Rattus norvegicus: one gene and its partner. The protein of the gene in region 2 interacts with the protein of the main gene of each other region in a biochemical or structural test. Links are inferred from orthologs where the notes say so. Each region holds a gene or a part of one and is shown on either strand. Other genes may lie near its edges.

Region 1 (4,997 bases), on a different chromosome or scaffold from region 2:
ACAAATGAAGCTACAAGAATTTTATAATTGCAAAACATGTAATTAGTGTTTAATTACTATAGCAGAGACTCATTTCCAATCCTGTATCTAATTTTAACATAAACAAAGACATATAGGCTTAATTGATGCAATGGTGAATTTAACCATGAATCTGTAATACTATATAAATAATATTAAGAATGATGGTAATATTAATAATAAATTTAAAACACAGGCTTGAATTTAATCTGGTAAAATGTGAAATCACACAGTGGGATCTTTTACCATAGGCTGTGAAACAGTATGTACATATGTATCGACTACATATATAGCATACATATGAATATGTATTTAAATAAGTTAATAGTACTGCAAACAATCATTTCATATCTGTAATGTCTATTTAAGATCTGATTTTTCCAAAGTATAAAAGGAAAGCTCAGTACATTTTTACAGTTTGTTCTAAACAATTAAGAAGATTTAGAATTAAAAGCAAATTGGAGTAGGGAAGCAATAATAACTCTGAGGTTTTCTTTTGTTTTGAAATATGCTCTGTCCATTTAAACTTATCTAACTTACCCAGACTAGCCCTTTGCAAATGAGCATAAAAACACTGTGGCTTTTGTGTCCTTCAAGTTAAAGCCCAAGCCCTTCTGAGATCAGGAGGAGAGGAAGGTGCACAATCGCTTTCACCAGGAAACTAAGCTTGGAACTCCTCCCCTGGGATACTGCAATTTCCTCTTCCTTTTTACCCTCGTCTATTAAAAATTTCAGAACAATCTTTTCTGGAACTAACCAAGGGCTTTGGGGCCACCCCTGCGACTGGTGGCAATGGTTCAAATTGTAAAACGAAGCTGGTGTGCTGAAACTAACACTCAAGAGACCCATAGTGTGGCAAATCTGTTCTTGGTGTATGAATCGCCACTGCCCTTGGTTTTCCCAAATGCATATCTGGAACAAGTTCAGTGGTCTAGGTTCATAGGAACCTCCTGCATGCTCCTTAGGGTCAGGTCAAAGAGAGGAGTCTGTACAGGAATAGATCAGATGCTGTCACCATCTGACAAACATGGTGCAGGGGGTGAGCGGAGCTGTCCAGCACTGGAACTTAGAAAGCTGGAGCTGGGAGATGCTCCTCCAAAAGAGCTCCCACAAATGAAGCAACAAGGAACAGACGCTAGCCTCACTGTCCTCGTGGCCTCACTAGAGGTGGGGAATCATCCTCACAATCTGTCCCGTAGTTTTTTCCTTTGCCTGTGTGTCCGCTGGAGCAGTTGATGTGACCAATCTGAACTTCTAAAATAAACTAGACATTGGACTTTGGACATGGCGTGTGTGTGTGTGTGTGTGTGTGTGTGTGTGTTGAGTGTGTGTATGAGTCTGTTTGTGTCCGTGAGCACGCCTGTGTGTAGGGACCCCAATACTCTAGGTCGGGCTGTCAGTTTTCTTCAGAGAGAGATCACTCCCTCAATTCTATGGCCCTCACCCTAGCGTCAGACATTGGGCGTGCTCACTGCCCTTCTGTTTTTCAGGGGCCAAGGGACATTTGGGCTTAGGAACCTTTAGCCCTATGACAACTACTGTACGCTCCCCCTGGTATCAGGGCACAATGGCTGGGAACCGAAAGAACAGCAGCAAAGTGTCCTAGTTGCTCCCGAAATCTGGCGACAGAAAAGGAAAAGACTTCCAATGAGTATGCTTGGGACACGTGATGCCCGCGGAGGCAGCGCTGGAGGGCGGGGGTATAAAGGGAGGAGGAGGGAGTCGCGCAGCTCCTGGAGGGGGCGGAGGACACGAGCCACGGGCGATCGAGATGCAAGGCGGAGGATCCTTGCTGCATGCACCCTTATCTCCGCAGTCCTTCAGTGGGAGCTTTGTGCACTGGCCGGTGCTGAGGCTGAGCTTGGAGAACAGCAGCTGCAGAGTCAGCGGTGGCGGTACTTGAATCCTCAGCTCATCTCCGGCGCCACTGCGGAGCCTGGGCCGTAAGGAGCCTCGGCAACCCAAGTTCCCGCCATGAGCAGCTGGCTCGGTGGGCTCAGCTGCCCCAGGGACACGCATCTGGGAGAGCGCGAGCGCAACGCCAAGCAGCCCCGAAGCGACTGAAGCTGCCTGCTACAGCATATCCAGCCACGGTCACCACCACCACTGCGTCCCTGCCTCCACCACCACTACCGCCACCATTACCACTACCACCACTGCTGCCGCCGCCGTCTCTGCTGCAGTAGTGTCTCCAAGCAGCATGTCTCGCAGGAAGATTTCATCCGAGTCCTTCAGCTCTCTGGGCTCCGATTACCTGGAGACCAGCCCGGAAGAGGAAGGGGAATGCCCCTTGTCTAAGCTCTGCTGGAATGGCAGCCGGAGCCCGCCAGGGCCACCTGGCTCCAGAGCAGCCGCTATGGCTGCCACCCCAGTCCCCGCTGCCTCTGTCGCTGCGGCAGCTGCTGCAGTCGCCGCCGGGTCCAAGAGAGCCCAACGCCGCCGGAGGGTCAACCTGGACTCACTGGGCGAGAGTATCAGTCTCCTGACGGCGCCCTCGGTGAGCCGGGAAAGGGATGGGGAAAGTTGGATCGAAGCTATCTGGGGAGCTTGGGGAGCTCCCGTCCGCTGGGGGGCGACTCGGCCTCACCCTCTTTGGCCTTGAGTTCCTAGTGGTCCCTAGAGGTCTGGGCTTAGGCAGAAGGGGAACATTGGGAAATAATGAGACCCATTCTTTCCAAGGTCTGCCTGTCCACTTCCAGGCTTAAATCAAACTACACTGTTGTCTTCTTTGATAGCCTCAGGGATCCTTCAGGCCACCTGTTTTTCTATTTTCCTTCTTTCTCTTCTGCTTTCTTCTACTTTAACTCTCTTTTCTTTCCTCTCTTCCGGTCTTCTTTCTTCTCCCTCCTTTCCTCCCTCCTTTCTTTCTTCTATCTTTTCTTCCTCCCAACCCTCCCTTCTTTCTGCTCAAAACTTTCCCAGGGTGTGTTCTGGTTCTGCAACTCCCATTTCCCTTTCCAACATTCCAAAGAGGCCCCAGCTCCCTCCTCTGGAAGCTCTTACTCTTCCTATTTCCCACACTCTCTTGGTCTGATTCGTGACCTTTTAGGGCATCTCTGAATTCCACAGGCTCACAGCAGTCTCTTTTGAATGCTTTTCTCACATTTAAGAAAGCTCTCTTAGATATTTTTCTGAGTTGTTTTTTCTCATACAAAACTGTAATGCTATGTTTACACACACACACACACACACACACACACACACACACACACACACAGAGCACCTTCGTGATGTTTTCTTATTTGTTATAAATTTATTGGCTCAGTTTTCCTTTTAGGGCAAACCTGGTGTCTTTGTAAAAATAAAAGTCACTTGTACCCTTACCTCATCCTGGACTTTCTTATCCTTAGATTCTCCACTGTTTCAGTTTTTTTAAAATGTTTTTATTTCTTCTTTTATGCCTCCGTTATATTAGAATCCACTACTATGTTTATTGAATGAATGCATGCCTTCATGTACTTCCTTCAAACATATGTTGATCTTAGGATATGTAGTATTAGCAGTTTCCCCTGTACACCCTGGTTCTAGTCATTCTTACATACCACTTTTATTCATTCCTCCTCAGACATTTCTCCCACTCCTGCCTGTATGATTTTTCAGGAATGTCAGGCCTCTGTTTTTTACCATTTACTAAGCAGACTTTGGGTTTGTAGAAATCCACTCAATTACAGAGTGTAAAGGAGATTCAATGTCAAATTTGCACCCACTTTTGAACCTCATCCAGGTTTTGAAAGCAAAAACTTTAACTTTCTTTAAGAACTACATTTTCCCCTTCTGCTCTCATTTCTTTGACTTTAACTTTCTCTGAACTTCCCTCAATGTATTTGGACAATGTTCTCTTATTTAGTGTATCCTAGGTTTCCCTTGGAAAGCATACTTGTACTCAGTGTAGAAAAGTCCTGGGGAAAAGCAAGATGTTAAGGATCTATGTTCTGGTCCAGGCAATGCCACAGACATCACTGTGGTATCTGTGTTATTGGAGAAGTGTTTCTTTCAACACTGAAACATATTTTCAGTCTCTTTTCTTTCTGTTGTGTTTTACTCTTTAACACACCATCCTACAGATAATCTAGAAAGATAATTCAGATCAGGTTGGCTGATTTGTTTTCAATCTTCCCTATAAATTTGTCCCACAGAAGATAATCCTGAGACATATATAATGCTACAAATTGTCAAACATAACTGAGTATGAGAGGAATTCAGTAGCTGTGCATATGTAGGTTTGTATCAACCCACAACATAACATTTTTGCAACATATCAATACTTCAGTCAACAGGTTCATATAGCTAACTAAACATAATGATCCATTGGTAAAGAATCCTTGTAACCCAGATTTTTTTCTTTGTGCTTGAGAAGTAAAATATAGAGGTTTCTAAAGTGTCTTTGATAATGATTTTGCATAGAATATTCTCAAATACTCACTTGAGGCTTAGGGAAAATAAAGTGATAACTGATGTATCTACTGTGAGAATGAGAGACAAGAAATAATTTCTGGTGGTTTCTTTTGTAATTTGGAGTTTAGTGACTGATGTGAAAAACATGTGCCCAGATAATGCTTTTCAGAACAAGAAATTTGAAAGAAATTGTGATATTAAAAAGTTCAGAAGGTCTGTGTTCTTTATAAGAACATATAATTTGCATTGGGAAACTTTGTAGAAAGTTACATTACTTTCTTAAGTTGTAAACATCAAGTCATTATTGTATTTAACTAATAACTGAGGCTCCACTGTGTAGCAGATATTGGATTGGGGAAACAGATGCTGAATTATCTACATATAGCTTTTATGGACTTCTTTAGTCCTTAATTTGAGGAATGTGAATTGAAAGGAGCATAGGAACTTTGATTGCACTGTGACATCCAAGGAACATTTTGTGTGTATTTTTTTTTGCACTGTGTGTCTTTGCAGTACAGTCATAATAACAAACATTATTGTACAGGCCCAGTTGGAGACATGACAATAACTTACTATGTCCTTTA
Region 2 (5,150 bases):
TAAGGTCATCTCAAAACTTAATTAATCAATTAAATGGGCTTTGTTAACCAGGAGTCACTCTAGAAGGGGAGGCTTTAAATTCTAGAGATTTGAAAAGCATATCTGAACTTCATCGCTGATATAAGAAAGGAATACGTTTTACTAGATTACTATTAAAATCCTAAATGCCATTTTAAAAATGTAACATGTATTTATTTACTTTGTGTCTGTAGGCATGCATTCAAGTACACATGCGCTATATTTAGCACACATGTGGAGATCAGAGGACAACTTGGAGACATTGGTTCTCTCCTTCCACCATCTGGGTCCTGGGGTCAAACTGCTCATCAGTCTTGGCAGCAGGCACCTTTACTCCTGAGCCAGTGGGTCTCACCCTGGCCTCCTCCCCTTTGAGGGGGTCAGGCCAGTACCATTTCACGGGGACTGAATATCAGATATCCCTTATATTGAACATTTACATTATTATTCATAGCAGTAGCAAAAGTGGAGTTATGAAGTCACAATGAAAACAGTTTTATAGTTGGGGACCACCACAGCATGAGGAACTGTATAAAACAGTTGCTGTGGGGGTTGGGGATTTAGCTCAGTGGTAGAGCGCTTGCCTAGGAAGCGCAAGGCCCTGGGTTTGGTCCCCAGCTCCGGAAAAAAAAAAAAAAAAAAAAAAAAAAAAACACAGTTGCTGTGTTAGGAAGGTTGAGAAGCACTGCTTCTGAGCCATTTCACCCACCCTCAGATGCCTTTTGCTTGTTTGTTTGTTTGTTTGTTTGTTTGTTTGAGACAGGATCTCACTATGCAGCCCTGAGGGGCCCGAGACTTACTATGTTCAACAGGCTATAAACTCAGAGAGATCCACCTGCCTCTGCCTCTGGGGTGCTAAGACTAAAGACATTTGCCACCACACCCAGACCAAATATCTTAAAATAGTCAGCTGGGCTGGGCATAGTCGTACTTGCTTTTAATCCCAGTGCTGGGGTAGCAAAAAAATAAAGGATTACTGCACATTCAAGACCAACCCTTTACACATACGTCGTTTCAGGACAGTACCAACTACACAGCCAGACACAGTCTCCAAAAGACTCAAGTCAGACCCTTGAATGTCATATTTCTGGCCCATCCTCAAAGTACAGTGATGAGAGATTACTGGCACTGAGCAAGAGGTCACTGTCTCAAGGTTATATAAGTCGGTGACATTTGAGCCTGGAACACCTCTTCCAACCCCCACCCAGGCCCGACAGTTGCTCGTGGCACTGCACAAGGCTTGAGGCCTAGGAGAGGAAGGTGTTTCTATTTATATCTAGCCTCCCCCACCTAAAAGTGGGGACTTCAGTTGCATTTGAAGCTCTGACCATTCCCAGCTGCCTCACGAACTCAGCTGGACCCCAGAAGGGAAGTTACCATAGCAACAGGAGCACAGTCTTCAATCCAGGAAGAATTGGATGAAACTGTTACTTTCCCCGAAGTCCCATAAACATGTCCTTCCAACACCTGGAAGTACAGATTTGAGTTGTGTCCCTGTACCTTGGCAAGACCCTGCTCCTCTGAGGGTTGGTTTGTCTGTCCGCAAAGTGGAACTTTATAGAACTTCAGTTATCCTTCCTGCTCTGACACACTTGAATGTATTTTTTTTTTTTAAATTGGTCTGTTTCCTGGGCCTATCATAGAGTTTGGGATGAAAGCTTGCTCCCTGTCTTGACAATTGGGATTGGCTGCCTGGGAAGGGTACTCCATGGACGGATTCCCCAGACAGTCTTTAGGGCAATAATGCTCTATAATTAAGATTTAAATCCTGGTTCTACCATTCGCTAACTGATCCTGGGGAAATTATTTTTCCCTTCAGAGTCTCAGTTTCTTCGCCTGCAAAACTGGAGATTAAACTCATCACTGATGACTAAACTCACCTTTCACCATTGATGGTCAAGATGAAATAGACCTGAAGTGTAATGGCCACAACACCTAACACACAGTGGCATTCACCACCATGCTCATTCCCTAACCTAGGCCAAAAGATCTAAGCGAGGTACCAATAAACACAGCTCCCTCCAGGGGGCCTGAGAATGCATGGTCACTTTCAATCTGGTAGAGGGTCAGGAATGGTAAGCCCAGCAGCTAGGTACGAACATAGATTTTAAGCACCACATTTAGTTGCTTTGGGAGTCCCTCCTGGCCTCTTTTTCCCACACATGCTGGCAAGCCCTTCCTCATCCTATAGTTACCAAACCAGACTCAGATGGGAAGTGACTTGTGGATGTTCACAGAGTTCTAGAACTCCGATGGTTGCCTGAATGAGCTGGAGAAGTCGTCACTCGGTAAAGTGCTTGCCTAGTGTATAGAAAGCTCTAGGCTTGATCCCCAGCACAACATAAACCTATTTAGCAGCCCATCCCAGTAATCCCAAACCCTCTGGAGGTGGAGATAGGAAGATTAGACATTCGGTGGTCTCCTTTGCTACGTAGTGTCTATGAGGCCAGCATGGGATACACAAGACCATGTCAAACAATTGTCATTCTTGAAAACTAAGAATTCTCAGGAAGGAAAGGCAACTCTGGGTTCATTCTTTCCATTAGAACTCCCAGCCTAGGCATACAGCCTCGGGAGCCCAAGATGTCTTGGTCCTTACTGGCCCCTTCTCTGTTACCATGCCTGTGCCTCCTATCCATCCCTGGCACCCACATTGAGCTCCCAGACTCCAGGCCTCTACCCATTCACCTAGGTTGTGTCTCATGACTTCCCCCTTGTCCTAGCAGTGTCCCAGGTCTCAATTCCCTTTCCTTTCGCCGCCGCCCCCGCTCCCCGTCTGTCTTCCCGAGGACCCTCCTGCCCTTGGTACCCATAGCTACGGTTTTGCTTCAAAACCGAACTAAGCACCTATGTCCTTGGTGCGCCCCCATCCTTCCACACTTCTGAGTCTCCTGTAAGACACCCGAACTCCCCAAACCCCTTCCGACCTTGGTGCTCTTCCCTCACTCTGTTCCTTCCTCCCCGGGAGACTCTGCTCCGCCCTAGACAGGTTTTCGGTTACCTAGTCTCAGTGCCCTGCCAGCCCCCGTGATCCCTGAGAGCTCCGCAGCGACACAGACAACACGACCCCGTGCCCTCGGTGCCCCGCACCTACCCTTGATGCTGATGCCGAGCCCGCCGGCGTCGGCCTTGCGCACCGTCACGCGGCGCCGCTGGAGCAGCAGCGCCTCTGGCAGCTGTGGGGACGCCGCGCCGGGCTCAGCGGCGCCGTTGAGCTGCGCGGGCTCGGGCTCCGGGCCGGGCTCGCCGTCGGCGGGGCTCACGGTCAGCGCGTCCTCCGCCAGAGTGAGCAACACCCGCTGCCACCGCTCACCACCCGCCCCGGAGCCCGCCCCGGAGCGCAGTTCTAGCAACCCGGTGCGCGGAGCGCGCCTGCCTGACGCCATCTTCGCCTCGAAGTCCCAGTACGCTGCGCTCGCCCGGTCCCGCCGTACCCGGCCCGCTCCGACCCAGCGCCCAGGGCAGAGGGCGGCGGGGCAGCAGAGCCAGCCGCCACCCTTCCCCGGGCCTCGGGGGCGGAGCTTCGCAGGACAGGCTGTCGGGGGCGGTGCTAACGGGGGCGGGGCCCCGGGAGAAACTGAAGAGACGCTCCCCGGTAATCTAAGGATGTGCTGCGGGGATCGCTTAGGAGTTGGTCAGAACCGCGCTCCCGCAAGGCCACAGTTAGAGGAGGATGAGGGTGGGGTGCTGTTCGGGAACATAAAGGGGGCCGGGTTCTGTGAATGGGGCAACATAAGAATCCGGTTCTGTGTGCCGTCGAGGATTGGACTGTGTGTAGCTCGTGGAAGCAGAAGGACAAAAAAAAAAAGAATCAAGGGTCCTGGGGCAGAGCTGCCTGTGGCGGGACGGTAGGCTCCAGGGACTCTGCAGACAGAGTTAAATGAGCTAAGGAAGAAGATGGTTTCCCATAGGGAAGATGTGTGCCATAGGGAGAGGGTACCAGCGGAGGTCTGTTGGCGTGACTCAGCTTGAGGGTGCGGCCTCTAAAGATGTAGGTCTACCCTACCCACCGGGAGGAGAAACGCCACTCCTTTGAGAACTTGGTCCCATCACTTGGAATAGAAGCTGGAGGATCTGCAAGTTTGAGGCCAGTCTAGGCTACATGAGACCCTGCCTTTAAAAGATACAAAATAAAAAGACATAAAGAGATAGAGATAGAAGGCTCAAAGGTTAAGAGCATGTACTGCTCTTATAGAGGACCAGAGTAAAATTCACAGCTCGCAGTCACTTGTAACTCCAGCTCCGTGGGGATCTGAGACCACTAGCTTGGGAACCTCTGTTCACATTGCAAACACCTATACCCGTGCACACAAAAATAATGAAAATAAATAAAGACATGTGTTACATGCATACATGCATACATACATATATGTATGGCACTTATTCCATGTTTGCATGGCACATGGACTGGCTGATCTATGCTATCAGTTGTGCCTTGTATAAATCCTGCATAACCGATACATTGTTACTATCTTTTTTACTCTTTAGGGCAGCAGATCTCATTACAGATGCTTGTGAGCCACCACGTGAGTGCTGGGAATTGAACTCAGGACATCTGAAAGAGCAGTCAGTGCTCTTAAACGCTGAGCCATCTCTCCAGCCCACATTGTTGCGATTTTATTGATGAGGAAACTGAGACACACAAGCACTAAAAGCAGACCTCTCTTCTAACCTAGGTCTTTCTGGCTTCCAAGCTCATTTCCCTCCTACTCCAGTGTGCTACGTGCATAACAGCAGGAGATAATGTCACTGTTCGCTCTTGAGTACTTACTGGACCAAGCAAGATGCCATATGTAATCACAGCACTAGGAGACTGAAGCAGGGGGATCATGAAGTAATTCTAGGCTAGCTAGAGTTCATAGCAAGTTCCAGGTTATACTTTTTTAAATTATTCTAATGTTTATGTGGATTGGTGTTTTGCCTTGACGGATGTCTATGCTCCACATAAAGTCAGTCCTCGAGGGCCAGAAGAGGGGCATCAGATCCCAGAAACTAGAATTAAAGATGGTTTTGAGCTGTCATATATATGCTTAGAATTGAACTCTAGACTTTAAGTTAAATATTGAAGGACAAGCTAGACTTACTGAGAAAGATCTGTAATCTCAGATACTCAGCCTGAAACAGGAGAATCA

The links. The genes of interacting proteins can lie anywhere in the genome.
Region 1: the proteins of Snta1 (region 2) and Gucy1a2 interact in a test that uses a peptide from one of them, tested with the Homo sapiens proteins (3 studies listed by BioGRID and IntAct, with this or other methods). The link is inferred for Rattus norvegicus from reciprocal best matches to the Homo sapiens genes SNTA1 and GUCY1A2.

What each region holds. Positions count from the first base shown.
Region 1 is NC_086026.1:8,783,414-8,788,410, forward strand, and holds the start of Gucy1a2 (guanylate cyclase soluble subunit alpha-2), read left to right. Parts: upstream 1-1,798; 5' UTR 1,799-2,218; coding exon 2,219-2,515; intron 2,516-4,997. UniProt on the Homo sapiens protein: Has guanylyl cyclase on binding to the beta-1 subunit. Isoform 2 acts as a negative regulator of guanylyl cyclase activity as it forms non-functional heterodimers with the beta subunits.
Region 2 is NC_086021.1:163,363,414-163,368,563, forward strand, and holds the start of Snta1 (alpha-1-syntrophin), read right to left. Parts: upstream 3,515-5,150; 5' UTR 3,405-3,514; coding exon 3,113-3,404; intron 1-3,112. UniProt on the Homo sapiens protein: Adapter protein that binds to and probably organizes the subcellular localization of a variety of membrane proteins. May link various receptors to the actin cytoskeleton and the extracellular matrix via the dystrophin glycoprotein complex.